Linked DNA regions of Notamacropus eugenii. The protein of the gene in region 3 interacts with the protein of the main gene of each other region in a biochemical or structural test. Links are inferred from orthologs where the notes say so. Each region holds a gene or a part of one and is shown on either strand. Other genes may lie near its edges. The genes, in order: SLC22A12, SDK2, PDZK1 and SLC34A1.

The links.
Region 1: the proteins of PDZK1 (region 3) and SLC22A12 form a complex in vitro, tested with the Homo sapiens proteins (2 studies listed by BioGRID and IntAct, with this or other methods). The link is inferred for Notamacropus eugenii from reciprocal best matches to the Homo sapiens genes PDZK1 and SLC22A12.
Region 2: the proteins of PDZK1 (region 3) and SDK2 interact in a test that uses a peptide from one of them, tested with the Homo sapiens proteins (2 studies listed by IntAct, with this or other methods). The link is inferred for Notamacropus eugenii from reciprocal best matches to the Homo sapiens genes PDZK1 and SDK2.
Region 4: the proteins of PDZK1 (region 3) and SLC34A1 form a complex in vitro, tested with the Homo sapiens proteins (2 studies listed by BioGRID and IntAct, with this or other methods). The link is inferred for Notamacropus eugenii from reciprocal best matches to the Homo sapiens genes PDZK1 and SLC34A1.

Annotation. Positions count from the first base shown.
Region 1 is NC_092873.1:17,299,128-17,306,264, forward strand, and holds the start of SLC22A12 (solute carrier family 22 member 12), read left to right. Parts: upstream 1-4,137; 5' UTR 4,138-4,412; exon of another isoform or gene 4,413-4,439; intron 4,440-4,557; 5' UTR 4,558-4,696; coding exon 4,697-5,098; intron 5,099-5,485; coding exon 5,486-5,589; intron 5,590-5,748; coding exon 5,749-5,903; intron 5,904-7,137. UniProt on the Homo sapiens protein: Electroneutral antiporter that translocates urate across the apical membrane of proximal tubular cells in exchange for monovalent organic or inorganic anions. Involved in renal reabsorption of urate and helps maintaining blood levels of uric acid.
Region 2 is NC_092873.1:338,819,993-338,826,935, forward strand, and holds the start of SDK2 (protein sidekick-2), read right to left. Parts: upstream 3,002-6,943; 5' UTR 2,888-3,001; coding exon 2,824-2,887; intron 1-2,823.
Region 3 is NC_092873.1:303,013,160-303,021,031, forward strand, and holds the start of PDZK1 (Na(+)/H(+) exchange regulatory cofactor NHE-RF3), read right to left. Parts: upstream 3,023-7,872; 5' UTR 3,002-3,022; coding exon 2,998-3,001; intron 1-2,997. UniProt on the Homo sapiens protein: A scaffold protein that connects plasma membrane proteins and regulatory components, regulating their surface expression in epithelial cells apical domains.
Region 4 is NC_092872.1:414,518,533-414,525,492, reverse strand, and holds the start of SLC34A1 (sodium-dependent phosphate transport protein 2A), read left to right. Parts: upstream 1-3,960; 5' UTR 3,961-4,065; intron 4,066-4,499; 5' UTR 4,500-4,525; coding exon 4,526-4,637; intron 4,638-4,919; coding exon 4,920-5,075; intron 5,076-5,345; coding exon 5,346-5,474; intron 5,475-5,761; coding exon 5,762-5,905; intron 5,906-6,960.

The DNA.
Region 1 (7,137 bases), about 290 Mb from region 3:
TCAGTGTCTATGGAATGAATAGAGTGTAGACTGGCTTTTATGATACCAAGTTGTTAATAAATTGTTTTCCTTACCCTAGCACAGCCGGATTGTTAAATGGGTAAAAGGACATTCTGGGGTTGGGGAAAGGCAGTTACCTTGGGGCAGATATAGATAGGAATTGAATATGGAAACAATGAAATTTTTGGCCAGCCTAAAGTAGCTCAACCACACTAGATAAAGCTCACTACAATGTTTGAGGCAGAGTAGGAGTTTACTAAATGCTTGTTGACCCACCAAAGATGGCCTTCTGCTCGGCTTCTCTTAATCCCCACCCCAAGTACTGGGGACATGCTGGCAAGGTTCTATGTCAATGACATATGCCTTCATGCTCCTGCCCCATGTTGATCAGGAATCAACATGCCTCACCATACTGCAGGACTTGAGAAAAAAAGAGGCTGGTCCATGGCTTAAAGGGCTTCAGGATAGCTTATCACCCAAAGTCCTACTGTGTGCAGTCTTCTTAACTGTCTCAGAAACAAACGTTCCCTTTAAAAATCACTTGATGCTGAGACTTCATAAAGAGCCAGCCTTATTGCCCTCTCTGTATCCCTCACTCTCAACCTTTTCTACTCCTTCATCAAATGTTTGTTAGATGATTGAGTGAATGTATCTTTATCCTTTCCACCTAATTCCTGCAATGTTCACAGTGAAAGAAATATGTGCAGGAGCTAGTCATGGTCCCTCCCCCCCAATAACCTAATGTTATGGATGTGGCAAGAAAGGGAAAGATGTATGTGTGTTTGTGTAATGGAACAAATTGAACCAGAAGGAATGGGTTTTACCAGCATAGTCCAGTATTTCAAGTCACTTGGAAGGTCTCTTTGTTCATCTAATTACAGGATTTATTGTATTTATTGTGTACTGATTAAGCAGACAAAGGAAAGTGAGGATACACGTACCCAGATATCAGACCCCTGGAGGCCCAATGTCAGTTCTGGTTCTGAGAACTTGCCCAGAACATGATCTGCTGAGTCCAAGGGGCACACAGAATGTTAAAGGATCCAAAGTCTTACCCTCAGGAGAACAAAGGGATCTGGAGCCCTTCAAAAATGCATCAGTCTGGGGTAAACAAAGCCTAGTCACTCCTGAGTGCATCAATCATGAGTAATTCAGATAAGGATAGATACAAGGGTTGGCCCAATCCCTTTGGTATCACGGCAATGTTCAATGGACTCACCAGGCTTTTCAGATATCTTCATCTATGTGTTTCTCCTCTTTCCTCTTGGGAAGGGAGCCAGTGTGACTAGACTACATCAAAGTCAAGACTGGTTGAATAATGAGAAAATGCCCTAATTGTCATGGGCAGCATTAGGAGAGGAATGAACCATGACACTGAGGGAATCGAGCCTGGTTTGGTGTCCTCGTTAAACAGTAGCATCCCAGACTTTCTCCAGGATGCTGAGTCACTGAGCAATAAGGAATTTTCTCTAACTCCTTTTCCTCTGGCTCTTAAAAAATGGAGAAGTCAACTATTCCCATAGGGCCTTGGGCATCGAAGAAATTGTTAAAATTGGATAATTCAGCTCAATAAGCATTTATCCAACTAGATTCCATCCAACCTAGAGACCTAGCCTGAAGACCTTGCTCTACAAAATGTGGCTGAAGGAACTGAGGAGAAGAGAATTCGACTGGAGAAGAGAAGATTCAGGGGAAACTGGAAAGCTGTTTTCAATTATCTGAAAGAATTAGACATGACCCCAGAGGCCAGATCCAGGAGCAATGGGAACTTGTTAAAAATTTAGGTTCTCTGAAAGAACGTTTTCTCCCCAGCAATTTAAGCTCCCTCAAAGTGGAATGGATGACTCCAGGGAGAGCATGGGGACTTCACTTGGCTGATTAGGGTCTTCACAATGGATGGTTACTTGTTGGGAATCTCATAGGAGGGATTATATTGAGGCTCAGGTCCCATCTCTGTGCCCAGGCCTGGAATGATCCCCTTCCTCACCTCTGCCTCTTAAGAATCACTGGCTTTCTTCAAGGCTCAGCTCCACCTATGATAGCCTTATATCTATATCTTTCTATGTGTTCACATGGTCTCCCCAGTTCCACTGTCAGATCCTTAGAGGCAGAGAGTTTCTGATACAATCTATGGGATAAGACTTACAGAATTGTTGAGTGAAACAGGTAACGAATGTTAGGCAGTGTAATACAATGGAAAGAGCTCTGGACTTGGAAGGTCACTGGGATTTTAAAGTCTTAGCCCCCCTTTTATTTGCTTAGCTATATGACCCTGGGTAAGTCACTGCCCTTTTCTGGGTCTCAGTTTTCTCATCCATCAAAAGGGAATAATAACACATGTACTATGAGCCTCACAGTGTCCTTGTGAGAACTGGATGAAAGACTGTGTATATAAAGTGCTTTGTGGAGGAAAGTGATATATCAAGGAAGGCTGCCTGGAGGCGAAAACTGGAACATGCAGTGAGTGTGACCTCTGGCCACCTCCCACAGTGTCCCATATCTGACTCCATGCCCAGAGCACTGAACCAAGGGATTGCCTTTACGGAGTTGTATTTCAGGAAAGTCCCAGCCTGGCTTCCCTTCCCTCCTCGCTCTCTGGTCACCTCCTCTACAACCTCCTGACTGGCATCTCACCTCCATCCTGCATGCCCTTTCCTTCTCCCATCCTCTGAAGTCCTAGGATCATGAACCACTATCCAAACACCGGCATTGTTTCTGGATGGGATGTGTCAATCTACTCATCTATGGAGGTCTCTCACCCTGTAACTTCCTGGATCAAACTTTCTCATCCCTAGCCAGCAGTGACCTATGTGTATGATTTTCCCTGTTAGAATGTGAGATCCTTGAGGGCGAGAATTATCTTTGTATCCTTATAGGTGTATCTCTAGCCCATAACACAGTGCTCAGCACGTAGTACTGAGCACATAGCACATAGTAGGTACTTAAATGAATTTTCATCCATTCAGTCAGAAGGCAACATCCTATAAACGACTCTCATATCTGTCCTTTTTTTTTCTATTCATAGCCACCTCCCTAGTTAAGACCTTCAGCACCTCCACATCCCCCTTCCTAATTGGTCTCTCTGCCCGAAGGCTCTCCCCGTCTCCAATCCATCCTCCACAGTTGATGTTCTTAAGGTACAGGTTGAATCATGTCATTCCCTTGTTCAAAAACTGTCCAGTTCTGACTCTGGGCTTTAGGGTAAAATATTTCTGTGTGGTAATTAAAATCCTTCACAGTCTGACTTTCTTTCTAGACATTCAGCATACTTCCTTGATGTTGATATTCTGTCTAGCTTAGTGGAGTGGCTAGAGGGTGGGTTAAATCCTGCCTCAGAAACTGACTTGTTGCTTGCCTGTGCCTCAGTTTCCTCATCTGTAAAATGGGGGTGATAATCACACCTACCTTGAACAGTTGTTGTATTAGTTGAGTTAACCTATGTACAGTGCTTCTTAAAACAAAAAGCAGCCCTACTTCATGAATACAAAGTGTTTTTGCACAGCTTGGTTCATTCAGGGGTCTTATTGTCTCCAAGGAAGAAAACTGAGGCTGAGAGATGGCATGTTACATGGTAAACAGCAGAGCTGTGATTTGTTGAATCATAGGAATTAGAACTATATAGAGAAGATCTAATCCAAGGCCCCTTCACTTGGGTTCTTCAGAAGGTCCATAGACTTGGGTAGGAAAGAAATGCCATCTTTATTTTCACCATTAGCCTTTCCCTCAGTTATTTAAAACCATGATTTTGAGAAGCTACAGGGGTTCATGACACACAAAAAATGCTAAGAACCTCATTTGTACTCTGTGAGAAAATTGAGGCCCAGTTGGGAAAACTGACTTGCCCAAGGTGTCACAAATAGTCTTAAGGACCAGGATTCAAAGCCAGATCTTCAGTTTCCAAGTTCTAGTCTTTTTTCCATAGCACCAAAAGCAAGATAAGAAGAAATGGACTTTAATTGCATCAAGAGGGATTGGGGCTAGACAGTAAAAAAGAACTCTGAGACCCCAAGGGTCATGAGATCCAGGATCAGATTACGGAAGACCGTTCTGGATGGTCATGGCCTTCAGGTAGACGCCCATCTCCCAGCTCACTAGTAGGTGTGGGTGAAATACTCATTTACATCATGGCCTGTGCCAGGGTTAGTTAACCCCAAGGTTAACTGTTCCACCAGTGTAATTTAGTAACAGGGCGATCTGGGACACGGAGGCAGTTTGGCAAAATCTCTTCTTGGATCTTAGCTTTCCCACGGCTTCTAAAGTTCAGCACTTCTTCCAGATTGGCCCTCTCTTGGTTTGAGCCAGAAACTCCCAGAGGAGTCTCTCAGAGAAGGGCCCAGGGAGCACCTGACCCAACTAAACAGAACTTCTGGGAGAGTCCTGATCCCCTCCCTGGAAGAGCTTCCCCACACCAGGTGAAGTCCAGGTTCAACTCAAGGTTGGTATGTGGTGGCTGTGAGTGTTTGTATTGGGAGGGAATAGGGTCCAAGTCAATATCAATCAATGATAGCTTGGTGAGATTTAGGACTGGTCATCTAGTCTCTCCCCCTTCTTTTACAGGTTACACAGATAGTGAGGGGCAGAGCTAAGATGAGGACTCAGAGCCTCTGACCCTGCCTCCAGAGCTCTTTCTATTGGCTGCACCACCTTTGCTTCTTGGGGCTGGTGTCTACCCGAGCTCACCTCACTTTGGGCCCTCATGGCCTTTGCAGAGCTCCTGGAATATGTTGGCAGCTCGGGAAGGTTTCAGATCTCTCAAGTCATCTCTCTAGTCTTGGCTGTCATATGTGTCACCCCTCACAATCTGCTGGACAACTTCACAGCAGCTATTCCTGACCATCGCTGCCGGCTGCCCTTTCTTGACAATGCCACTGCCTTCCCAAACATCACCAGAGGCCTGGGTCCCAATGCCCTCCTGAGGGTCTTCATTCCCCTGGACAAACACCAGAAGCTGGAGAGATGCCGTCGCTACCTGCACCCACAGTGGCAGCTTCTGGAACTCAATGCATCAGTCCCTAATGCAAGCGAGGCAGATACAGAACCTTGCTTGAATGGATGGATCTATGACCACAGTGAATTCACTTCTACCATTGTGTCTGAGGTCAGGGGCTCCCTCTTTCTTAGTCCTCTCTCCCTTCCCCATTTCCATGTGTAGCTCTCTGGAGTGTTGCCTAACATTCGCATAGCTGAGTATATTCCAAATGGCTTGTTTAGGACTGAAAACATTTCCTTCCCATCACATTCCTCCTGATTCCTTCTACTCTCTGTATAGAGGGCCTTGGTTTTGATCACTAGCACTGCTGCTAATGATCTGTGTGAGCTTGGGGATGCACTTCCCTTGCTGGGGCTCAGTTTCCAAGTATGTGAGATGAGATGGTCCCTCCTAGCTGACATCCCTGGTATTCCATGTTCCAAGTCCTCTCCCAGTTGCGACAGTCTGTGAAGTAGCTTCTCTCAACCTCTGCTGTTCGTTTCCCTTCTTCTATAGTGGGATATGGTGTGTGACTGGGAGTTCCTGAAGCCCATGGCTCAGTCCATATTCATGGTTGGCATCGTGATTGGAGCTGCTGTATGTGGCCCTGTCTCTGACAGGTGAGTGTTTTCTGATTTAAGCTGCTCTCACTCCTCTAGTTCCATACAGATCCCTCAGAACCTGGGAACAGAGATGTTGGGGGACCCCTGCCCATCTGGCTCTGTGCCATGGCATTTTTGTCTCACCGAATTGCCCTAGATTCACTTCCTGTATCACAGGTTTGGGCGGAAGCTGGTATTGAGCTATTGTTACCTGCAGCTGGCCATCACTGGTTCCTGTTCTGCATTTGTCCCCAACTTCTCCCTTTACTGCTGCCTGCGTTTCTTATCAGCCTTTGCTGTGGCTGGCATCATGATGAACACTGCGATACTCAGTAAGTATGGTGCCATGGACCTGTCCCAAGCCCTCAGACCAAGACTGTATAACCAGTGAAGTTAGGTTGGCATCCTTCTCACCCCTCAGGGCACAGTTCAAATGCCACCTCTTCTGCAGATTTCTCTCAGATCTGTACCCCCTCTCCAGCTAGAAGCTAACTTTCCACCTAGTCTCATTTACACCCTCGTACACGTAGATGTTCTAATTTATCACTTTTCTGTGTCTGTGTGTCTCATCTTCCCTACTAAACTGTAGTCAACTTGAAGGCAGGGATCATATCTAGTTTAATTTCTCTCAATATCTAGACAAGGCCAAGCATATAGTAGGTCCTTAATAAGTGTTGAATTACTGAAAGACAAAAAGGATGCTTGCATGATGAATGCATGCAAGACTGAATGGATGAATTTATAGACAGATGGATTGCATGCTGCTGAACAGTACAGGAGAAAGGCATTCATTTGCATTGATGATATTTATCACAAATTTATGAGATATAATTTCAACTGGGTCTTCACTGCGGCATGGCAATCTTTTTATTTTTGTATGATTGACTCTCTTTCCTACTTTCCATGGATACTCTTCCAAACCCTTCCCTGTCTCCCCTCTTGTCCTTTCCACCTCCTCTTGACAGAGAACCTTGATTTTTATTCTACTGAGAAAATAGAAACCATCTGTCTTTAGCTTTCTCTCCTCTCCCATTCCATATCTCAAAGCCCCTCTTTTCCTTTCCTTTGCCCTAGTTTGTGATGAAGAAGTGACCCTTTACTCTGACAAAACTAAACTCTCCACTTGGACTCTTTATTCCATCTCCTTTCATCTCATCTAGGACCTTGACTCCTCAATCATTCTTTTCTTCCTCTCATCTTTAATCTATCCTTATCTACTGACTTCTCCACACTTAATGTGCCCATACTTTCCTTATTCTTAAAAGATCTTACTATTCTTGGACTCTGCCATCTCCTCCAGTTATCATCCAATATTCTCCTCCCTTTCACTCCAAGAAAGGGTTGTCTTCTCTTGATTTCTGTTTTCTCCTTTCCCACTCCCTTCAGCTCTTTGCAGTACAGCCTATGACCCCACCAAGGTCTCCCAGTGCATTCTGGGCTACCTTCAGTCATCCTGAGGAATATCAGGTCATTGAATTCAGATGACTCTGGTGGAGAAGTGAGGTTGGTGACCTGCACAGACCTCCTTCACTCAAAACAAAGTCAAGTGCAGGTCATATCATCATT
Region 2 (6,943 bases), about 36 Mb from region 3:
TGGTATAGGCAGCTGGGTAGCAGAGTAAATAAGAGTGTGTGGTCTAGAGTCAGAAAGACTCATGTTCCTGAGTTCAAATCTGACCTCAGACACTTTCCAATGGTGTGACTCTGGGCTAATGACTTAACCCAGTTTGCTTCAGTTTCCTCATCTGTAAAATGAGCTAGAAAAGGAAATGTCAAGCCCCTCCTGTGTCTTTGCCAAGAAAACCCCAAATGGGGTCACAGAGAGTGGGAAACAACTGAACAACACCAACAAAGCAGTATGGTGGTACAAAGACTAGAACTCCTCATCTGAAAGTCTGGTTTCTATTCTAATTCTGCCACTAAATAGCTTCTCACTTTCAACTCCATCTGGGTCTGGTGGGCAGATATGGACAACTGGAGATGGCCTAGGATGCAATGCGTGGAGGATCTGGGCATTTTCAAGCTAAGGTCTTTAACAGGCCTCAGTTTAACTGAGGCAGCACTCATTCAGTGATTAAAGATTAATAAAAAAATAAGGCAAAGAATGGCCTCTTTAAAAAAAATTATTTGAGAAAAGACCCTCAGGTTTTTGGCCAAAACAGAAACAACTGTTATTTGTATTCTTTCTGAACTGATGAGGGCTCAAACGATGACCAAGTAGGGCTTGGCCTGGGACCTACCATAGGCCAATCAATGAGAGCTAGGAGACCCTGGACAAGTAACTTCCCCTTCTCTGGAAAGGAATTTCTTTCTTGTCCAATGAGGAGGTTAGATCAGATGATCTCAAAGGTCCCTCCCAGCACTAACATTTAAAGACCTGAGTGTGGTGACACCTATAGTCTTAGTAGAAACACAAGAGCAGGTAAGTGGCACAGTGGAGAGTGCCAGGCTGAGAATCAGGAAGACTCATATTTCTGAGTACAATTCTGACCTCAGACCCCTACTAGGTATGTGACTCTGAGCAAGTCACTTAACCCTGTTTGCCTCAGTTTCCTCATCTGTAAAATGAACTGGAGAAAGAAATGACAGGCTACTCCTATATCTTTCCCATAAAAACCCTAAATGGAGTAACAGAGAGTCAGAAACAACTGAGCAACAAAGAAACACACAGGGGTGATTGTGGGAAGTGTCCGTTCCAGTGCCTTGCCTAGTGGTAAGCAGCAGTATTGAAAGCAGCAGTCAGGAGGCAAAACAAAACAGAGCATAATTAAGCCCCCACTCACCCATCCCACCCCCATTCCTTCCTCCCCATCTCCACCTCCCAGCAATCATCTTCTATCCTCCAGGCCACTCAACTCACTCTTGGCAAGAGTTGGTTTTGTTTTTAAAGACTGTAATTGAAGTCTCTAAGAGGGAACAAATGTCCAGTTCCCCCCTCCCATTTAATCCCTTCTCATTCTAGGGCTGGGGGAGAAAGAAGGATTCTATGTCATCAACTCTTACTATATTCCTAGATCTCCTTGGACAATATCATTAACTTACTACCCTCTCTCCCTTGGCCTAGGATCCACAGTTTCCTCCCTGGAGAAGAGACATGGGCTCTAATAGGGATTTGCCTGATACAAAGGAGGTATCCAGTTACCTTTTGTTCAAAATACTTACTGCTGGGCCTTAACCCACACAGTACTTTATACTTTCTCCCAAGGTCAAGCAACAAGGACCTAAGGGTTCCTGCCTTTTTTGTCTTTTTCTTTCTTTGTTTACTTTATTTTCTCTTTATGCCCTTCAGGTATTCCTAGGTTCACCTCAAACACACAATCTCTTTTAGGAAGGAGAGAAAGGAGGCACATTAAGTGTAATCCCCGACTGACACACCCTCCACCAAACCAGACACACCCACCCATCCCATTTCTCCTGGAAGATCAGGAGTAGTCTGAGAGCTTCCTCTGTCATGGGTACACACCAAGGACAAAACTTCTCATCTCCCCCCCCCCCATAAATTAATGTGTCTAGTACATAGGAAGTAATTAATAAATACTTGTTGATCAGTTGATGTCTATATACATTAAGGCCAATGCAACTCAGGAGACAGTGCAAGAAGGGTGAGGGGAGGATGTCATGGTGGGTGTGGGGAAAAGGTTTTTCAGAGACCCCTAACTAGTTGTGGCTGCAGGCATCAGTACATACATATAGCTACAGAGAGCTATTGTGCATACCGAGATCAAACACTGTGGATTCAGCCAATATACACTAAGACGATGAGAAGGGGTGGGGGTATGTACGTACAAGGATCACACTCGCAGTATGGAGGAAGAGGCAGACTTTTGATATAATGAACCTGACCGACGCACCCCCATTTCATGCCTCCCTCCCCTCCACTGCCCGGCTCCGGAGGTCGTAGAGCTGTTCACAGGTTGTTTTCCCCTGCCCAGTCTGACAGGGTAGGAAGACACAGCTCTTGAGGACGGAGATCCCAGCTCTCCCAGTTCTCCCAGCCCCAGGGAGCAGAGCTGGAAGAAGGCTCTGATCAGGTTAGAGGCATAAACTCGCCCCTTCTGCCCCAGCTAGGCATTTCTACAGAATGGGTGAACTCCAGTCTTGAAGAACTACACCACGAACTGGGGCTGGGGAGGTGGGGTGGGGAGGGGGAAGATACGGGAGCGGGGAGCCTCACGATCCCTCAGCTTCCCCTCAGCCCCCAACCCCAGTCCAGTTGAATTCAGAGATAGCGGCTCTTCTCTCCACCTCAGTTTATGTTAGCTCTCTGATCTCCTTATCTGCCTCTATTAAAGGCGCCCCAGAAAGATCTCAACCCAAAAAAGGGACTCCTAGTCCAGTCCCAGAAAGCCCGGGGGTGGATTCTGCGACGGCCGCTAAATCCATCGCGGGGTCCCCCAAACCACACGTGCCTTCTTACCTTGGGCTCCGGCAGCACGGATCCGCAGCAGGACCAGCAGGGTGCACAGCAGGGGTCCTCGCATGGTTTCGGGACGTCGAGGTGCCCCTCCGGGCTTCCCTACTTCACCTCTTTACGTTTTATAATCCTTGTGGGGTCCGACACCCCGCGGCTTCTTCCCACGGTGAATCAATTAGGGGCCCCAGTTCTCGGGACCGTGTACTCGAGACAAGGGGTAGAACGGATGTCCCCCTTGTCTCTTCCGAGCTCAATCTCCCAGAAGACAAAGAGCAACAAGGGGTTGGACTGGGCCGGGAGGGCTAGCCGCCCCCTACTCCCTCACTGGTATTGAGCACTTCCTTTCCAGTCCCCTTCTCCCCCAAAAGGCAGTGCTACCACGGCGGCTCCCCGGCAGGGTAGCAGCCTCAGCTCCAGCTCCGGGAGAAATGGACAACTTTAAGAAACTTCCTCCGGTGGCCACGTTGCCCGCCCCCCGCCCCCTCCGCCTGCCGCCCGCCAGCCCCTTGGTTTGGATTTCCAGGCGAAGTCCTCGCTCTTTGAAAGGTTTGGCCTCAGGTCCCAGCGCCTGGAGGAGTATGGAGCGGCAGGGGGGAGGGGGGGCCTGGAGAGTGAAGGTGATACTTTAGGGGTGCCGGGGTTTAGGGGTAGGTTGGTACATCGATCCAAGTCTTCAAGTTTCCTTCTCTTTCTTTAACTTTGCAGGACGCATCAAGTCGGGCAGAGACCGCTTCGACCTAACACACTCTCTCCCTTTTCTTCCTGCGCCCCCACCCCAACCCGTTTGGCACAGAGAATTCACCCGCGGATGGAATGCCGAAGGAAGCCGCCGGGACCAAGCTCTCCGCTCCACGCCTACCCGGCTAGCAAACTTTGCACGTCCTGCAGCTCGGCTGCGGAGCTCCGGCTGCACCACGTCCACACCAACCCCGATGCTGCCGGGGGAAGTTGGTGTGGCTGAGGGGCGCGCTCCGGCCGGCACCCAGGGAACTGAGCGCTCCGCCTGGCCTGGCGGCGCGAGAGACGGCCGGCTCTGCCCGGCTCCTCCGGAGTCCCTGGCCCCAGCCCGAGAGGACAGATCCAGGGAAGAAGGCAAAGCTGCAGTCTAGTCTGCGAGGCGCTCAGCCAGCTCTCCCCAGCTCCGCGCCCTCCGGGAAAGAGGAGAAGCACCTTTGTCCCCACGGCCAGCGAACCGCCGCGGCCCCGGCCAACGCCGCTCGGTCTCGCCGCGGAGCCGCTCGTCCTATCCAGCCGCTCCTCTCCTCTTCCCTGGGCTCGGCTGCAATGTGAGCTGGGGCTCGAGTCTCTGCCGAGCCGGGAGCGGCGGCGGGGGGGAGCCGGAGCCGTGGACGAGCGCGGCGGAGGCGGAGGGAGAGATGGAGAGGGGGGCCGAGCGCTACCCTGTGGCCACGACTGGAGAGCAACCCTGCGCGCACAGAGGGGGAGGAAGGAGGGCCGGGGGCGCGGGAGTGAGCCCCGCACAGACACGATCTATCTCCGATGCCACAGCCCCCGCGTCTCAGGAATCCGCTTTCGTGCAGTAGGCACTTCGAGTCCAGGGAGAGCGCTACATCACCTCCACTCCCATTCTGTCCCTCCCAGGAGCCCTTCTCAGGCCCCTCACATGCCCCCCTCCCCCAGTTTCAGTCCTAGTCCATTAAGGGGGGGACCCACCTCCTCACACACGCCCAGTCTGGCTTAATGCCTGGGTAAGAAATGGCATGGCGGAGACAAGCCAAGGCCAACAGGGTAGGGGAAACCGAAGGGGAGGGTCAGGAACAGAGTTCTCCTGTGCGCGTTAAAAAAGGTTTGGAAACACTTGGAAAGGGAACAGGGAAAATAGAAGATTGGGATCCATAAGGGGCGCAAGAACGTGGCATTGGAGCTTCGGTCACCTCGCGCCCCGCCCCCCTCCCCCCGCTCAGGAGAAGGCAAAGGAGCCACCCTGAGTCATCACAAAGCGTTTGCTCGCCCGGGAGCTAGGTTGGGGGGGGAGGGGGGCGGGATGGAGAGAAGGTCCCCTTTACCTTGGTTGGAAGTCTCAACAGGTGATGGCGCTGTAGCAGTTCCTCTGATGGACCTGGACTGGTTTTCTGTCTGCCTATTTCTGTTGCGAATCAAAGGACCAGTGTGTGTCTGCGTGGCCTGGAGATACACTGCGGCTAGTCTCTGAACTCTTTGTCTTTCCTGCCCTCCGAGTATGACACCCCATCTAGTCCTACCCCTCTTTCTTTGGACCCCCTTCCGTCCCTTCCCAGTTACTGAGCTGTTCTTATTGCCTTCGCTAGCAAAGAGAAATTAGTCTTCACATTGAACAGGGACTCTTTATCTGGGGTCCGTGAACTTAAAATAATTTTTTCTGATAACTTTCAATGCAATTGGCATTCTTTGTAATCCTCTATTTTACGTATTTAAAAGAATTGTTATCAGAAGGAAACCTTAGGCTCTGCCAAACTGCCAAAGAAGTCCATGACACACGCAAAAAAAAACCCCAAAACATTAAGAACTCCTGATCTAGAACATTTTGTTACTTTAATCTCAAAGACTCTGGAATGAGAACCAGGGACATTTGATGTAATGAGCCCAGGAGTTTGGCCTCTCTGCAGGCCTGCAGCCTTCTCACATAGACCAAATCTGGTATCTTCTCATCAAAACCTACACCTCATCCTGGCTGCAAGCACCCCAGCCCAACTCCAATTAGTAACTGCATGAGATGAAAGTAGGCAAGGGAGAGATCATGGATGGGCCTAGGGACTCCTCTATTCTCCCCCTCACCCCCCACCTAAAACAGGCAGATAAACACTGTACCACCTTACTTTTAGTCACTCAGGGCTCTGACTTCCACGTTTTCTCCCCCAGCCCAGCTCAGAGATACAAACTGGCAAAGCAGTCGAACTTGAAACAGTTAGGCTCTATGTTAACAAGGAAGTTTGTTGGACATGGTCCAAGCATATCTACCCTGGTGTGTTCCAGGATGGTGACTCACAGGATCAGATTCTTGAGGTGCTTCTGTCTCAGCTGAGGGAAGAGGCAATAGAAATATCACAACTAAATTCACAGGTAAAAGTAAAAGGCGCAAGTGTACCTTTACTTGCACAGGCAAACATATAAACAACCCAGTTCCTCAGTGACTTTATTCTTATACACCTTAACTCCCTCAAACAAAAAACCAGTGGTCAGTAGATCTAGAGCAGAATTGGCTGGAGGGCCAGAAACAGATTTTAATCTGAAAGTGTAGGCATTAAGCACTGGGTGTCACACGCCAAAACCATCCATTCTTTTTCAGACGTTTATCATCATAAGATGCTAGAATAGAAAAACTTAATTGGAGATTGGGGAGATGTCTTGAGAGAATGTCTCATTTCAGGATCCAAGGCACCCCCAACTCACAAGTAGAAGAGCCAGAGTTATACCAAGCCAGAAATTATTCCAACAAATTGATTGTTGTTCAATAGTGCCTGAATGGGTTTTTTTCTTGGCAAAGATGTTGGCATGGTTTTGCCATTTCTTTCTGTAGCTCATTTTACAGATGAGGAAACTGAGGTAAACTGGGTGAAGTGACTTGCCCAGGGTCACACAGTTAGGAAATGTCTGAGGCCAGATTTGAACTCTCTGAATCTGGTGAGTTCTGGATTCCAAGCCTAGTGCTCTATCCACTGTACCACCTAGCTACCCATAAAGCAAGAACAGAAACATACTAAATTGTTGAACTCAGACACTTCCTAGCTGTGTGATTCTGAGCAAGTCATTTTATCCAGTTTGCCTTGGTTTCCTCATCTGTAAAACAAGCTGCAAAAAGAAATGGCAAAACCACTCAAGTATCTTTGCCAAGATAACCTCAAATGGGGCCACAGCAAATCAGAAGCAACTGAAATGACTCAACAACAGCCAGTCATATAGGTAACAAGTGGCAAAGCCAGTAGTAATTAAGCTCAGACTTTCTGATTCCTTATCTAACACTCTTTTCTCCTGTGCTGCAGTTAACTTCTAATAGAGTTGTTGTTCCATAGGTGGTTTCTATATATTTGAGGAAAGGAGGGCAAGTGCAGAGGAAACAGTTCTGGAATAAGGTATTAAAAAAATGAGTTAAGCCTCTGTCCATAAAATACCCAGAACTTCTGGC
Region 3 (7,872 bases):
CTGACTTCCTCTGAAGCATTTTTAGTCGTTGGGATTCCACCTATATTTCCTCTGTGCCCTCTGAAATCTGCCTTCCTAAAATCTAGAGCACCTGCCAAACTATACCCAGATTTCCTTTCTTCTATCACAAACTCTAGGATGGAGTGGTCACTTCCCACCAAGATGTCCCTCATTTCCACCCCAGCAATCAGTTCCTCTAGGGTCACCAAATATTAACAGGGGAACTTCAGAACTCTTCTGGGCAAACATCTTCAGGTGACAGGTGGGGAAACTTAATGTCCCTAAAAGTGCACTGACTCTCTGTTATCTCCCATCATATAAACCTGAGGTAGTAATTCCTATGGAAAGGTTTAAAGTTCTAAGGGAATCCAAGTCCTGTGCCAGTCCTCTGAGCTTTCCACCATCAATTCAGTCTGAAGGTGAGACTTCCATAGCAATGTAAAGCAGAGGGGATTCTAACTCTTCTCTCAGTTCAAGTCATACTATACATGTACATGCTGGTATAGAATGATCATATCTACCTAAGTGGGTACCCTGACTGGGAAATGGACAAATGGACTCAGACACCAATCATTCCCCTTCAGGAAAAGGACAGATAACTTACAGCCCTGCCTCTTCGATCCCTATAGTGTCATCAGAAATTTTCAAGACTCCTAGAGAGGAAATTCAGCCATGATAAATGTCTTCTACCAAACCTCCAGACATTTATTCAATTCAATAAGCTCATAAGAAGTGCATAGTAAGTGCAAGTTAATTATACCAAGAGGCAACCAGGTGGTACAATGAATGGAGTGCCAGGCTTGGAGTCATCAAGACCTGAATTCAAATCTAGCCTCAGACAAGCTGCATGACCCTTGCAAGTCACTTAACCCCATTTGCCTCAGTTTTCTCATCTGTAAAATGAGCTGGAGAAGGAAATGACAAACCACTCCAATATCTTTGCCCAAAAAAAACCAAAAAATAAATGGCATTGTGAAGAGTCAAACATGACTGAAACAAGTGAACAACAACTGTTCCAAAAGCTGGTTACCCAAAGGAAGGGAATACAAAAGTTTCTGCCCTCAAGTAGCTTACAGTTTTCTGTGAGAAGGGAGGGCTACAACATGTATATAGGTTGTAATACTATTTAATTGAAGAGGAAGATAGTAAAAAGAACTAGCGACTGGTATTTGGAGCAAGGATGAGAAATCAGAGCAAGCCTTCACAGAAAAGGTGGCACCTTAGCTGAACCACGAAGGAAGATAAGGGTTCTGAAGGAAAGTGATAAGAGAGTGGATTCCAGGCATGGGAGATATACATTTGCACAGAGACAAGAGATGCATTTGAGTATGGCATTAATAAGTATTTCACTTAGATTTCTCTTTGCTCTATCTGCCCCACCCCTCCCATCCCTTGAATTAAAAGGTAAGTGGGAAGCCATGTAGCCCAACCTCCCAGTTAACACCAGATTCCTCTCTATAGCATCCCTGAGAGAGTTATTCAGCCAAGGCTTGAGCATGTACAGTAAGAAACAGCTCCTTGGAACAACATCAGGGACCTTTGACTACCACCAGGCCTATGTAATTTGCACTAGAGATGAGACCCTGCCCAGTATTTTATGGTAGGAACAATGTATGAAATCCAGAGAGCTGATTCACTTAATCAAGCATAATAAACAACCTCAAGGTCTCTTATTTATTTGTCACTAGGATGAATACTTGACTCCAGAGTTAATTCTGACTGATGAGATATGACTCTTGGGACACTGAGATAGAGATCTTCCAAATGATCTCTTGGCTCAGTTTATTGAGGTCAATAAATGAGGAAGGATTCCTTTTCTTCTTGGGACCACATCATATTACAACCACCAGTATTTTTCCCCCCATAGCTTAAAAGAGTAAACAGTGTCCCCTAAATACCATTCATCACTATCATAGTTCTAGCAGACACTCACCAGAAAAATAACATACAATAACCAAGTCAGTTGAGACCATGTATCTTCTAGATACAAGAAAATACAGACAGTCCAGAGAAACTTTTCAAATGGCCCCAAATGACCAAGTGGTCCATTTTACTTTTAAAACCCCTTTCCCCACTCCCTCAAGCTCAAACCTGGTCCTTAGAAAGAATAAGAACTCATGTTCTTACAAGTTTCAATACTTAGCTGAAGTAACATTGTACACAATGAGGTTTCTGATCATTTTCTTTGATCAATTTATGGTGATTTACCAATTACTAAAAACCTCAGTCCAGAGCCCCCAAGACTTCTTGGTGAGTATCTTGGCATCCTAAGCCTTGAGGGATTCTTGGGACCTGTAGTGGCTTAGCAGATGTGGATATTGTATGAGTGTTCTTCCAAACAAACATGGAGCCCTTAGCATTAAGCATTTCTCTGTAGAAAACTGTGGTACAATGGAAAGACAACCTACTCTGGAGTCAGATTTCAAATTCTGCCTCTATCACTCATTACTTATGTAACCACAAGCAAGTCCCTTAACCTCCTTGGGCCCCCATTCCCTCATTTGCATAAATGACAGGGCTTGGACTTTGAGGTCTCTTTCGGATTTAAATCTATCACTAACAAGTCACAGCAGCTGCTTTGTGACAGTCCTACCACTTTCAATGAGGGGTGATTGCAGAGAGTTAAAGGTTTCATAGGACATGTATTTCCCAACAGTACTTACTTCAGCTAAAACCCTGTAAAATTTCATGACAAAGAAAATCTCCATAACACTTAAGAGTCTGACAGGGTATTAATAGAAAAAATGAGAAAAGTCTGAGAGCAGAGTGGTTTCTACTGATTTCACGGGAGATAAGTACAGAAAGTCACTGGCAGTCCAAAAGGCTACAGGCAATCCTTAACTTAGAAACAGAGAGAGAAAGATGGTTAGACCCTTTATGTTTCCACAGCCAAATGTTCTTGAGAAGTAGGCAGGCCAGATACATGAGGACAGGATAAACAAGTCTCTACGTACTTTGTATTCACTCTACCTAACCTCAGAGTGGGGGCTGTTTTACCCATGACAACTTCCCATGATGCCAGGACCCTACACAGGGTTTCCAGGGGCTCAAGGCAGTGCTGCTTGGGGAGTAAGCAAATTATCCCACCAGCCAAGTTTCCAATTGCCCTCTAACTTCTGGTGAAGGACCACAGCCTTACAAGCCCTTATCTCCTCCGTCTCCAGAACCTCCCCTAGAATAAAGAAGGGAGAAAGAATAATTTATTGGATAATGCCTGGTGACATCAGCTAAAGACTCTCAATCATCCAAAAAAGTTTTTAAGTGCTCTGTCCCAAAGAGGGGAAGGAGCTACATTCCCCATTCTCCAGAGAAGGAGCTTATAGCAAAACAAAGTTATCAGGATACTTCTAGATATTGAATTCAAGTCAAAACCCCACTTGACCCAAATAATCACCTCAGTTCCTTGTGTCACCTTAGCCATGGAGCTCTAATCTGAATGTCTTTGGGTCAGAAGGAGGGAAATAAGTATTTATTAAGACATTGTGCTTTATAAAAATTATTTCATTTGATCACGACAACCCTTTGGGATATGTGCTATTATTATCCCCATTTTATGGTTAAGGAAACTGAGGCAGACTGAGGTTAAGTGATTTACCTAGGATCACATAGATAGTAAGTATCTGAGACTACTTGAATTAACTCTTCTAGCCTCCAGGCCCACCCCTCTATCCATTGTTCCACTGGCTGCCTAGGTAAACCCACCTCCTCCTTCAGGGCTGTTTTCCCAGCAGTTCTATGGAGAAGATCACATCTATGGCTTACTTTTACCCCTTTCTACTTCCGAGTAGCTAAGAGAAAAAGGAAACCTGAAAGGACAGCCATTTTTAAGGAGGGGAAGTTAACAGACTACTCCCTTGACTTGAAAGCTAAGACAAAGAGTTGATTCTTAGGGTGAGTTCCTTAGACAGTAACTCATGCCCCAGACCAAGGGACCATAGAAAACTAGAGTGTGTCTTTTCTAAGGAGCCTCCTCACCTCCCTTCCCAGATGAATAGCAGGTGAAAGGGTTTCCATCTTTCTGGGCTATCTATCCCCTGGAGATCTGGCTATCTACTTGAGGAAAAGAAAAAGCAGGGAGGAAGAAGGAAGTTCAGCCAGTGCCTTCTCTCTGGTCAAAATGAAGACAACCTAGCTACATTAGCAAAGACACATCCTGAGAAATTGGAAAGAGGATTTCTTACCTGTATCCAGGACTGAAGCTCTTTATTTTACCCTGGAAATTCTCTCACTGCTGACAGGTGCTAGACTAGGAACCTGCTGGACTTTGGTTGAACAAAGGTTGATTTAAAAGCTGATCTATTTAACAGGACCTTGTGGTCTAAGTTGAGATGACCTATGCCCCCCTCCCTGCCAGCTGGCCTGTAGCGCTGGGGCCATGAGGGACTGCAAAGTCTCAAACAAACCTGAGTTGCTCTGTCCTCAAGGAAGGGGGATCAGTGCTCACCAGCAGACACCTTGATTCTGAGAACCTGGGATGAGGGATAAAGTAGAAGGCACTTGCTCTTCTGGATTCAAATCCAGGATACTACCTATGTGATCTTGGACAAGTCATTCCTTAGTTCTCTTCCTGAGGCAGAAGAGAAATCAGTTTCAGCCAGATATCAGCCTCATTTAGGCCAAAGCTTGACTATTCTCCTGTTGTAGTGCTACCTGCCAAGCAAACAACATGGCTAAGGTCAGGGCAGCAGCAATCTTCCCTAGCAGATCTGTCTGTCTCTGTCTCTCTCACCCACTCACAGCCCTTGAATTCTTTACCTGCCTCTTTTTGCAGAGAAACCTTCCACCTATGGGCAATTTCTTCCTTGCACTCTCCCACACTTATCTTCTAACAAGGTGCCTCCTTGTCCTCCTGCCCCACAATGGTTGGAGAGCCTCACACCGAAACAGAGGTGGCTAGAGGAGGGCAGCAGAAACAGGCCAAATGCAGCATTAAGAAGCTGCCCAACCCTCCTCCCCAGGACAGCTGGCTTGAGACAGGTGGGCCCAACCGGTTACTCTGGCCTCCAGCCCAAGCCAAAGTGATGAACAAAACAGAGATCTCTATCAACATCACCCACGCAACCAGGTTGGCTGGCACCAGTGGTTTTGGATGACCTGAATCCCCCAGCCCACGATTAGAAATGAGGGTAAGAGGTAGCTCAAGTTGCCCCAAGGCAAAGAAAAGGAGAACTGAACCCAACCACAGACTGGAGACTCAGTGGTCTAATAATCCTTCATCCCCCATCTCCACACATTCCCCCTACACATACACACAAAGACACAATGTACTGTCCTCATAGGTGGTAGCTATTGCAAAGGGTCCTGAGCACATGAATAACTAAATATAAGCCAGTTTTGGGTTTTCTGCTCACAGTGTACCTTCATGTGGACTGCATACACACACACACACACAACACACACACACACACACACACACCTGGCCCTCTTTGACGTTTCCTCTTCTGATCCATATGCCACCTGGTCTATTCCTGGGGCTCAGATCAAGTCCCTCTTCCTCAGTGACTCTCTCCTGAGTACCCTCCCTTCACCCAGTGAGCTCTTAGAGCACCTGTGGGCAATTTCTTGACTCTGTTACCCAGTTGGCCCAGATCATATACAGGCATATCTCAGAGACATTGCAGGTTTGGTTCCAGACCACTGAGATTAAATCGCTATTGCAATAAAGCAAGTCACACAATTTTTTTTGTTTCCCAATACATATAAAAGTTATGTTTACACTATGCTGAAGTCTATGAAGTGTGCAACAGTATCATGTCTGAAAAAACAATGTACCTTAATTTAAAAATATTGCTCAAAAATGCTAACCATCATCTGAGCCCTCAGTGGCTCATAATCTTTATGCTGATGGAGGGTCTTGCCTCCATGCTGATATATCTGCTGGTTGAGAAGGGTGGCACCAGGTTGCTGAAGGATGGGGTGGCTGTGGGAGTTTTAAAAAATAAGACAACAATGAGGTTTGCTGCATCATTGAATCCTTTTTTCACAAGAGATTTCTCTGAAGCATCAGATGCTGTTTGATGCCATTTTACCCACCATTTTACCCTACCCAGTAGAACTGGTTTCAAAATTGGAGTCAGTCTTCCTAAACCCTGCCACTGCTATGTCCACTGAGTTTATGCAGTACTCTTCAAAACTGTTGTGTCTTAGGGAATAGTGAGTCTCGAGGAGAGGGAGAGAGACAGGGGAACCGCAGGTTGGTGGCACAGTCAGAACATGCCTGTTTATCGATTAAGTTCATCATCTGATGTCGCACAGTTTGTGGTGCCCCAAAACAATTACAGTAGTAACATCAAAGGTCACTGATCGCAGATCACCATAGCAGATATTATAATAATAATAATAATGATAAAGTTTGAAATACTGCAAGAATTAGCAAAATATGAAACAGACACACAATGTGAGTATGTGCTATTGGAAAAATGGTGCCAATAAACATGCTCGATGCAGAGTTGCCATATGCCTTCAATTTGTAAAAAGAAAAAAGAAAATAAAATATGCAAAAAATGCAAATACAATAAAGCAAAGCCCAATAAAATGAGGTATACCTGTACTACCTTCAATTCAACTGAATATGTATTATACTATTATTTATCTTCTTCCTGTGGCTACACGTCTTCTCTCTCCTTTCCCTCCACCTCTAGCTTCACAAAGAAATACAAGACACACTCTGTATCCTCACATAGCTTATACACTAGTTGAGGAGACAAGATATAAATGCATGAAAAGTCACAAAAACAACAGAAATCCATTCATTCATCCAACAAAATGGAAATACAGTAAATACTAGAGATCTCTAAAAGCAACATGTAACTTACTGCCAAAGGAAGAGCACAGAAAAAGATGGTTCTAAGTTACAGGAAAGAAAAGGTCAGAGTCAGCTGGAGAGATCTGAAGGGCTTCATGGAAAAGGTTAGACTTGAGCTGGGTCCTGGAGAAAGGTCATGGTGGCATCCAATTTAGAGTTCAGTGCCTCACTTTACAGAGGAAGAAAGAGATGAGGTAACTTCCTTAAGGATGATACCTTTGTTTTACAGAGAGCAGAGTAGAGAAAAATGGCCTGGTAACAGTCTTGGAATGGGTAGACTATGAGATGGGTCCAATATGAGACAGGTCCAGTAGAGAGAGAGAAGACCAATTTGGCAAGAACAGAGGATTTGGGGTGATTGGAGGCTGGGAGGAGAATACTAGAAGAAAATGTTGAAGTGAATGAGAACCAAATGAGTGAAGGCATCAAACCTCAGGTAGACTATTCATTTCTTCCTTTACACAAACACATATACCAAGTTTGTCATCAAGGCAAAAGCAAATGTCATTGGGTGTGTCAGCTTCTTCAGCATGACTTCCAAGGAAGAGGATCTGTTAAGACAGTGGCAAAGTTCTGTTCCTTTCTTGAACTTCATGGACCATCCTGCTCAGCCTGATCTCCCTGAACCAGAGAGAGAACAAGGTATTCCCTCTTGAAATATTCTGGAGAATCACCTGCTCCAAAAATTACTCCATTCACTGACTCAGAAGATTTGAATTGATAGTTGGAAAATCAAGGTTCAAATCTCAACTCTGTCACTTTCTAACCATGTGACCTTGAGCAAGTCATGTTATCTAACCAGGGCTTTTTCCTCATCTGTAAAATGAGGCAATTAAGACTATATGATTTATATAATCCATATCATATTTCTTGCCTTCTCAAAGGGGGGGAGGAGCAGGCAGGAGGGAGAGAATCTGGAACTCAAAAAAATTTTTAATGAATATTTAACATTTTTTAAAAATGTAATTGGAAAATAATGAAATAAATTTAAATATATTTTTTTTAAAATTTCTAAAGACTGGAGGTCCCTACTAAAGGTCTTTCTTAACTTTAAATTTGTGACTATG
Region 4 (6,960 bases), on a different chromosome or scaffold from region 3:
AAATTGCTCTCCTCAAAGATCTCTGATTAAAGAAAAATACTTGGAGACAACCAGTTATCCTTTCTCCCCTAAGTCTTTCCTTCTTCCAGATAAACATTCCCAATGCCTTCCATAGAACAGTGTCTCTGGTTCTTTTATAATTCTGGTTACTCACCCCTGAGTACTTACTAGTTGTCGATGTCCTTCTTAAAATGTGAAGTTCACCTATGCCCAAAGGGCTATAAAACATACTGGTACTAGGTCTATAGCCCAAAGAGGTGGTAAAAAAGGGAAAAGGACCCACATGTACAAAAATATTTATAGCAGCTCTTCTTGTGGTGGCAAAGAATTGGAAATTGAGAAATGGCTAAACACATTATGGTATATGGATGTAATGGAATACTATTGTTCTATAAGAAATGATGAGCAGCAGATTTCAGAAAAACCTGGAAAGACTTATATGAACTGAAGCTGAGTGAAGTGAGCAGAACCAGGAGAACACTGTACAAAGCAACAGCAACATTGTGCGATGACCAATTTTGAAAGACTTAGCTCTTCTCAGCAATGCAATGATCTATGACAATTCCAAAAACTCATGATGAAAATGGTATCCACATCCTAAGAAAGAACTATGGAGTCTGAACGCTGATCAATACATACTATTTTCCCTTGATGTTTTATTTCTCATAGTTTTCCCTTTTGTTCTGATTCTTCTTTTGCAACATGACTGATGTGGAAATTTGTTTAACGTGATTGTACATGCATAGCCTGTATCAGATTGTACACCATCTTGAGGAGAGGGAGGGGAAACATTTGGAACTCAAAATCTTATATAAATAAATGTTGAAGACCAAAAATAAATAAATAAATAAATGATGTGAAGTTCACATTTGTGTTCTAAATATTTTTCTAGCTCCCACATGCTGCCATTAGAATTTATATTCTAAAAGTGGTCAAAAGATATGAGCAGTTCTCCAAAAGATACTCACAAATTATTAGTAATTGTATGAAAGTTTGTGCCAAATTGTTAATAATAAGAGACTAGTAAATCAAAATATTTTTGAGCTTTCACTTTACACCTAGTAAAGTGGTAAAAAAGGACAAAAAATGGAAATAGTCAATATTGAAGGGGCTGTGGAAAGAAAGGCACACTGATATACTATTTGTGAAGGTGTATAGTGGTCCAGTCATTCTGAAAAGCAATTCAGAATTATGCAAAGAAAATAATTAAAATGTCCATATCTTTTGAACCAGATTTCATTACTGGGTTTATATCCCAAGGAAACTAGGAAATCAAGAAAATAAGAAGAAAATTCCTACATATTATAAAATATTTATATCAGCTTTTTTTGTGATAGTTAAGAATTGGAACAAAGTAGATGCCCATCAATTGGGGAATGGATAAACAAATTGTGGTACATGAATATAACAAAATATAACTGTGATATAAGAAATCATGTGGATGAGAAGTATGGAGAAGCATGTAAAGATGTATATGAACTGATGCAAAGTGAAGTAAGCAGAGCCAAGAAAACAATATACACAGTGACTACAACAATGAAAATGAAAAGAATGGCATGCCAAAAATAAAAAATAAATGTAGCAAAATTATAAAAATCAAATAAGACTCAAATGAAGAGAGATGAGGAAACACCTCCAAACCACACTTTTGTGGAGCTGATAGGTCCATATATATTACACACTGCACATGTTTTTGGACTTTTTCAATGTATTGATCAGTTTTACTAATTTTTTCCTTTCTAAAAAATATTATTTGTCTTATGGGATAGTTCTCTTGGAGGGGGAGAAGGAAACATACTTGGGATAACTACTGTAATGTAAGAAATAGAAACTATCAATTAAAAACTTATTTAAAAGAAAGAAAATTACTGATGTCTATACCTTTTGAATCAGAGATCCCAGTGTAGACATATAATCTAAAGAGGCCAAAGTGAAAAAGAAAAGTCCCATTTGTTGATTGTGATATCTATGGCAGCACTTTTTGTGTTAGGAGAAAGAAATAGAAACAAAATGGATATCCATTGATCTGGGAATGATCCAGGGGTGGGGAACCTGCAGCCTCAAGGCCACATGTGGCCTTCTAGGTTCTTGGGTGCAGCCTTTTGACTGAGTCCAAGTTTTATAAAACAAATTCTTTTATTAAAGGGATTTGTTCTGTAAAGTTTGAATTTAGTCAAAGGGCCACACTTGAGGACCTAGAGGGCCACATGTGGCCTCAAGACTGCAAGTTTCCGCAGCCCTGCAACATATTATGGTATTTGAACATGATAGAATATTACCTTGTTGCAAGAACTCAAAAGTGTAAACAAATAAGAGAAGAATAGGAAAACTTATATGAACTGATGCAAAATAAAGCAAGCAGAATCAGAAAAAGAACACACACAATGAGTACCACAATGTAAATGGAAAGAACAACTATTAAAAAAAAAACAAACCTGAACCTGTATAATGACCAAACTTAGGCAAACAAAAGAGATAAGAAAATGTACTTCCCTCCCCTTGTTGCTGGTGAGGAATTATAGAGATGAAATATTGTACATACCATCAAACACGATTGATGTGTTATTTAATTTCAATGAATTGCTTTTTCTTTCCTTTTAAAAATCTTTGTTACAAAGGACCGTTTGCTGCGTGATGGGGAGGGATATATTTAGAATAAAATATGATATAAAAACAAAAAACATCAATAAAAAATAAGAGATTTTTTTTAAAAATTCTGTGTTCAAAGGTTCCTTTCACATTCAACACTCTGAGTTCCATGATCCCCTACCCACAATTCCTGCTATAAACCTAAGCATCATGCTCACAGTACAATTATTTGTATCCCTAGACTCCACCTCAGTAAGACACCTATCCCTAGTCTTATTGCTGGCCTTTAACCTGTCCATTTTCCTGATCCTCTCTCTCATTATCCTTTGTCCTTGGGTAAAGTGGTTCTGTGTTTATGCCCTAATTCAGGCCTGCACAACATTTGGCCCACAGGCTGCTTCCCATGCATCGCTTGCAGATTGCGAAAAAATCTTGGGTGGCCTGTGAAAAATATAAAGGACGTAAAACAGGTCTATACGTATCTGCAGATAGCTTTGTTGGGCATCAAGAGGCCCACAGGCTTTATGTTGTGCAGTTCTGCCCCAAATGGTCCTCAGGCCACAGAACCTCTGGTCTATCAGAGGACAAGAGTGGGTTTGGCCAAGATCACAGACACAAACCCATATAGTCCAGATTTCCCATCCCTCTAGATTAACCCTATCTGCCTCCAAAAATCCATCCATCTAAAAATCCTAATTCTCATCCCAGGACTAAGTGTCAGGTTGTGGAAGTGGGAAGCTTCTCAAGTAGAGACTGTGTCACCATTACATATAGACACACCCACAAATGCAGGCTCATAGACACACATACACACAATTGGTGCTTAGAACAGCACATAGAACAGCACATAACATAGTAGGTGCTTAATAAATGTTCATTGACTGACAGAAATAGATTCATAAAAATAGATTCATAAAAAGACACACACAAACACATATATACCTGCAAAAGAGATACATGCATAAACGCACAGACAAGGGAGAGTTCATTTGGAGAATTCCTTGGAGAAAAGGAGAATGATAGGAGAAAGTGGGGGGGAGCCCACAGGAGCTAAGTGGGGGAAGGGTAAGAGGTGTGAGCTGGAGGGTACTGAAACTGGGGACTCTCAAAGGGAGGAGTGTCCTCAATGTGTGGGGTTCCAGTAACAGAAGACTATAGGCCTGGGGAGAGTTACTATCTAGGCAGTTCTGATCATGCAGGGGAGTGGGAAAACTGCCCAGAAAGAACCCAGGGGTGGACACCTCCATAGACAAAGACTCCTCCTGACGATTAGCAATTAACTGGGAGGAATTTCAGGGGAGGAGATTAATTAGGTAACTGTAGAAGGTGGCTGGGGTCCTGAGGGACTTTGATCTTGACCTGAGACTATAAAGGTCTCAGTCCCCACAAAACATTCCTACTTTGGCCACAAGGATTTTCACACTCAACTTTCTAGAGTCATAACCCAAGAGTCAAAGCCAGCCTCTGGGCAATCAGGTGAGTGACTGAGGAAGCTGCAGCCTAGGCTGGCTTTCAACTCTCACCCCTTCCAAGTCCCCAGACTCAGGCAACCTTGGCCCCACTCCTCACCTTTGCCCCTTCATCCCACTCTGTGGTCCTCTAGCCTTGATTTCCCAGTCTTTTAAAATCCTGATACCCTTTCACTTCAGCACCCTGACTCCTGACTCTCAGTCCCAGACAACCAGGACTCCCACATTACTTCATTCCCCACCATAGTCCCAAAGTCCATCAATCCCCAACCCTTTTATTCCAGCCCCAAGAGGCCTCCTGCCCCAGCTCCCAGCAAGTGTGTATCGGGTAGGGTTGGGGGTCAGGGAGCACACCGAGGAGAAGAAGGATATGGGGGTTGTGGAGAGGCAGGAATCTCCACTGGGAAGGAAGAATCTGAAAGTTGGAATATCTGGTCCTAGGGATCTCTCTGGTGTCTGTACCCAGGATGATACCTTACAGAGAGAGACACATGGGCCCTGCCCTATCCCCACTGCCAGCTGCCAGTCCTTGCTGTGTGATCCGAGGTGCAGCCTTTGCCTATACCCCCAGTCCTCAGGGTAAGAACAGAATACCCCCAAACCCAGTCTTCCCGCTTTGATAGGGGCTCCATCTATGGGGGTGCGGGGAGGAATTCTGAGGGTCCCAGGCCATAGATCTTGCCTTACTCTGAGCACCTCTCATTGGACCAAGGAGTCTCCTCCGAGGGCCTGCCACTAGCAGGCTGCACAGAGGCAGCATGCTGTTTTTCCATTGTCCCCTCCCCACTTAAATTCCACTTCCCCACAACCTAGGGCCCCAACTGGCAGCAGAGTCACTCAGCTATCTGTATTTCTCCCTAGTTCTACATCAGATTCCTGGAGCCCCAGCCTATGCCTTCCCCACCATCGGGCCGGGGGGCCTTTCTGAGTGTGGCTGTCTGTGTGGAGAGACCCTGGAACACTATGAGCCTGACCCACTGCCCCCCAAATTGACCCTGGAGGATACACAGAAGTCAGGTGCAAGGATGTGAAGGGGATGGAAATTGGGCTCCCTCCCCAGGTAGGGAGTGAGGAAGACAGATGGCCAGGCTGGCCCTCTGGATAGAAATGAGGGAGGAGACCTATATCATTGGGGTCAGTAGGAAAGAACCCTGTTATAGAGGTGGGCCCCAGAGAAGTGGATCCAAAATAAGGGGCCTGTGGAAGGACCTGGGCCACATGGAAGAGTTGGTAGGGGAGGAGAAGAGCAGGAGGGGAGGGACTCACCCTGGGACTGTGTCTCCCCAGAACCAGGGCCATCCCAGAGGCTCCCTTCGGCCTGTATCACTCTCCTCAAGGTTCCCATGATGCTTGTCTCCCTCTACCTCTTTGTCTGTTCCTTAGATGTGCTCAGCTCAGCCTTCCAGCTTGCTGGAGGTATGTAAAAGAGGAAGGGGAGGGCAGGCAGGGTTGGAAGGGAGGTCTAGGAACCATCATGGGACTGGGAACTGGACTTCAGGGACACTGGGCCAAGAGATTCAGAGCCTCTGGCTCAGAGTACCAGGATATGGACTGGGCCTCAGTGGACACTGGGCCATCTTCCGGCCAGGAAGGTTTGGGAGGCTGAGGGGACTGAGAACAGATGGCAGGTCTCTGATGCTGGCAATTGTCTTCAAGGGCCTTAACCCCAACACTTTCTCCCTTTTTTCTGCCCCCCCCTCCAGGGAAGGTAGCTGGTGACATCTTCAAGGACAACGCTATCCTGTCCAATCCTGTGGCGGGGCTGGTGGTGGGGATTCTAGTGACTGTCCTTGTGCAGAGCTCAAGCACATCCACGTCCATCATAGTCAGCATGGTCTCCTCAGGCTGTGAGTCTTGGGAGGAGAGTTAGGGCCTGTGGGTAATGGGGAGTGAGCCGGGGCACTGGGGCACTGGGGCACTGGGCAGGGAAGAAATAGAAGAGTCAGTATGAAGAATGTGGCCTCCACCTTCACTGACATGGTCACCTTCCAGGGATCCCAGCTCCCCCTCCAGAGCCTTGACTTTTTCTGGTTTCCAGATCATTCACCTTGACTCAAGGCACTGAGCCTTCCAGAGCTGCCTGTCCCCTGAACCTGCTCACCCCCCCAACCTCAGAGATGTATGACCCTTGATCTCTGATTTCTCCCCTTGCTCCCTTTCTCCTCTCATTGACATTGAACATCTGAGTCTGGGATCTGGCCCTCTTTTCCTTCTTTGTTCCCAGAAGAGAGCATTTTCTTTTTTAAAAAATTAATTTATTTGTTTTCAGTTTTCTATAATCACTTCCATAAGTCTTAGGTTTCCTCCCCCTCTCTCCTCCCTCCTTTTCCCCTCCCTCCCCAAGAGGGAATGCAATTTTATATGGGTTCTACAAATACATTCTTTTAAAACACATTTTCACATTAGTCATGTTGCATAGAAGAATTAAAAAGAATGGGAGAAACCATGAGAAAAACCAAACCAAAACAAAACCTAAGAGAAAATGGTCTGCTCCATTCTGCCTTCCAGTTCTACAGTTCTTTCTCTGGATGTGGATGGCATTTTGCAAGAGGGTATTTTAGGTTAAAAAAAAACCCCAAAACCTTTTATTGAAATAGTTTGTTTTTATTTTACCTTAATCTTCCAATATGTCCCTCATCTACCTACTCTATCCAAAGAGCCATAACTTTTAACAAAGAATAAAAAAAAGGAAAAGAAAAAAGCAGCTCAGCAGAGCTAACCAACATATTAACTAAATCTGACAGTATATCCAGTGTTCCACAACTGCATCCTCCCACCTCTGCAAAGAAAAAAAGAAAATAGAATATTTTCTAAAGTTTATGTAGAGGAGTAAACTAATCTATAGGGAAGCTTGGTGGTACAGTAGAGAGAGTGCTGGGTCTAGAGTTAGGAAAACTCATCT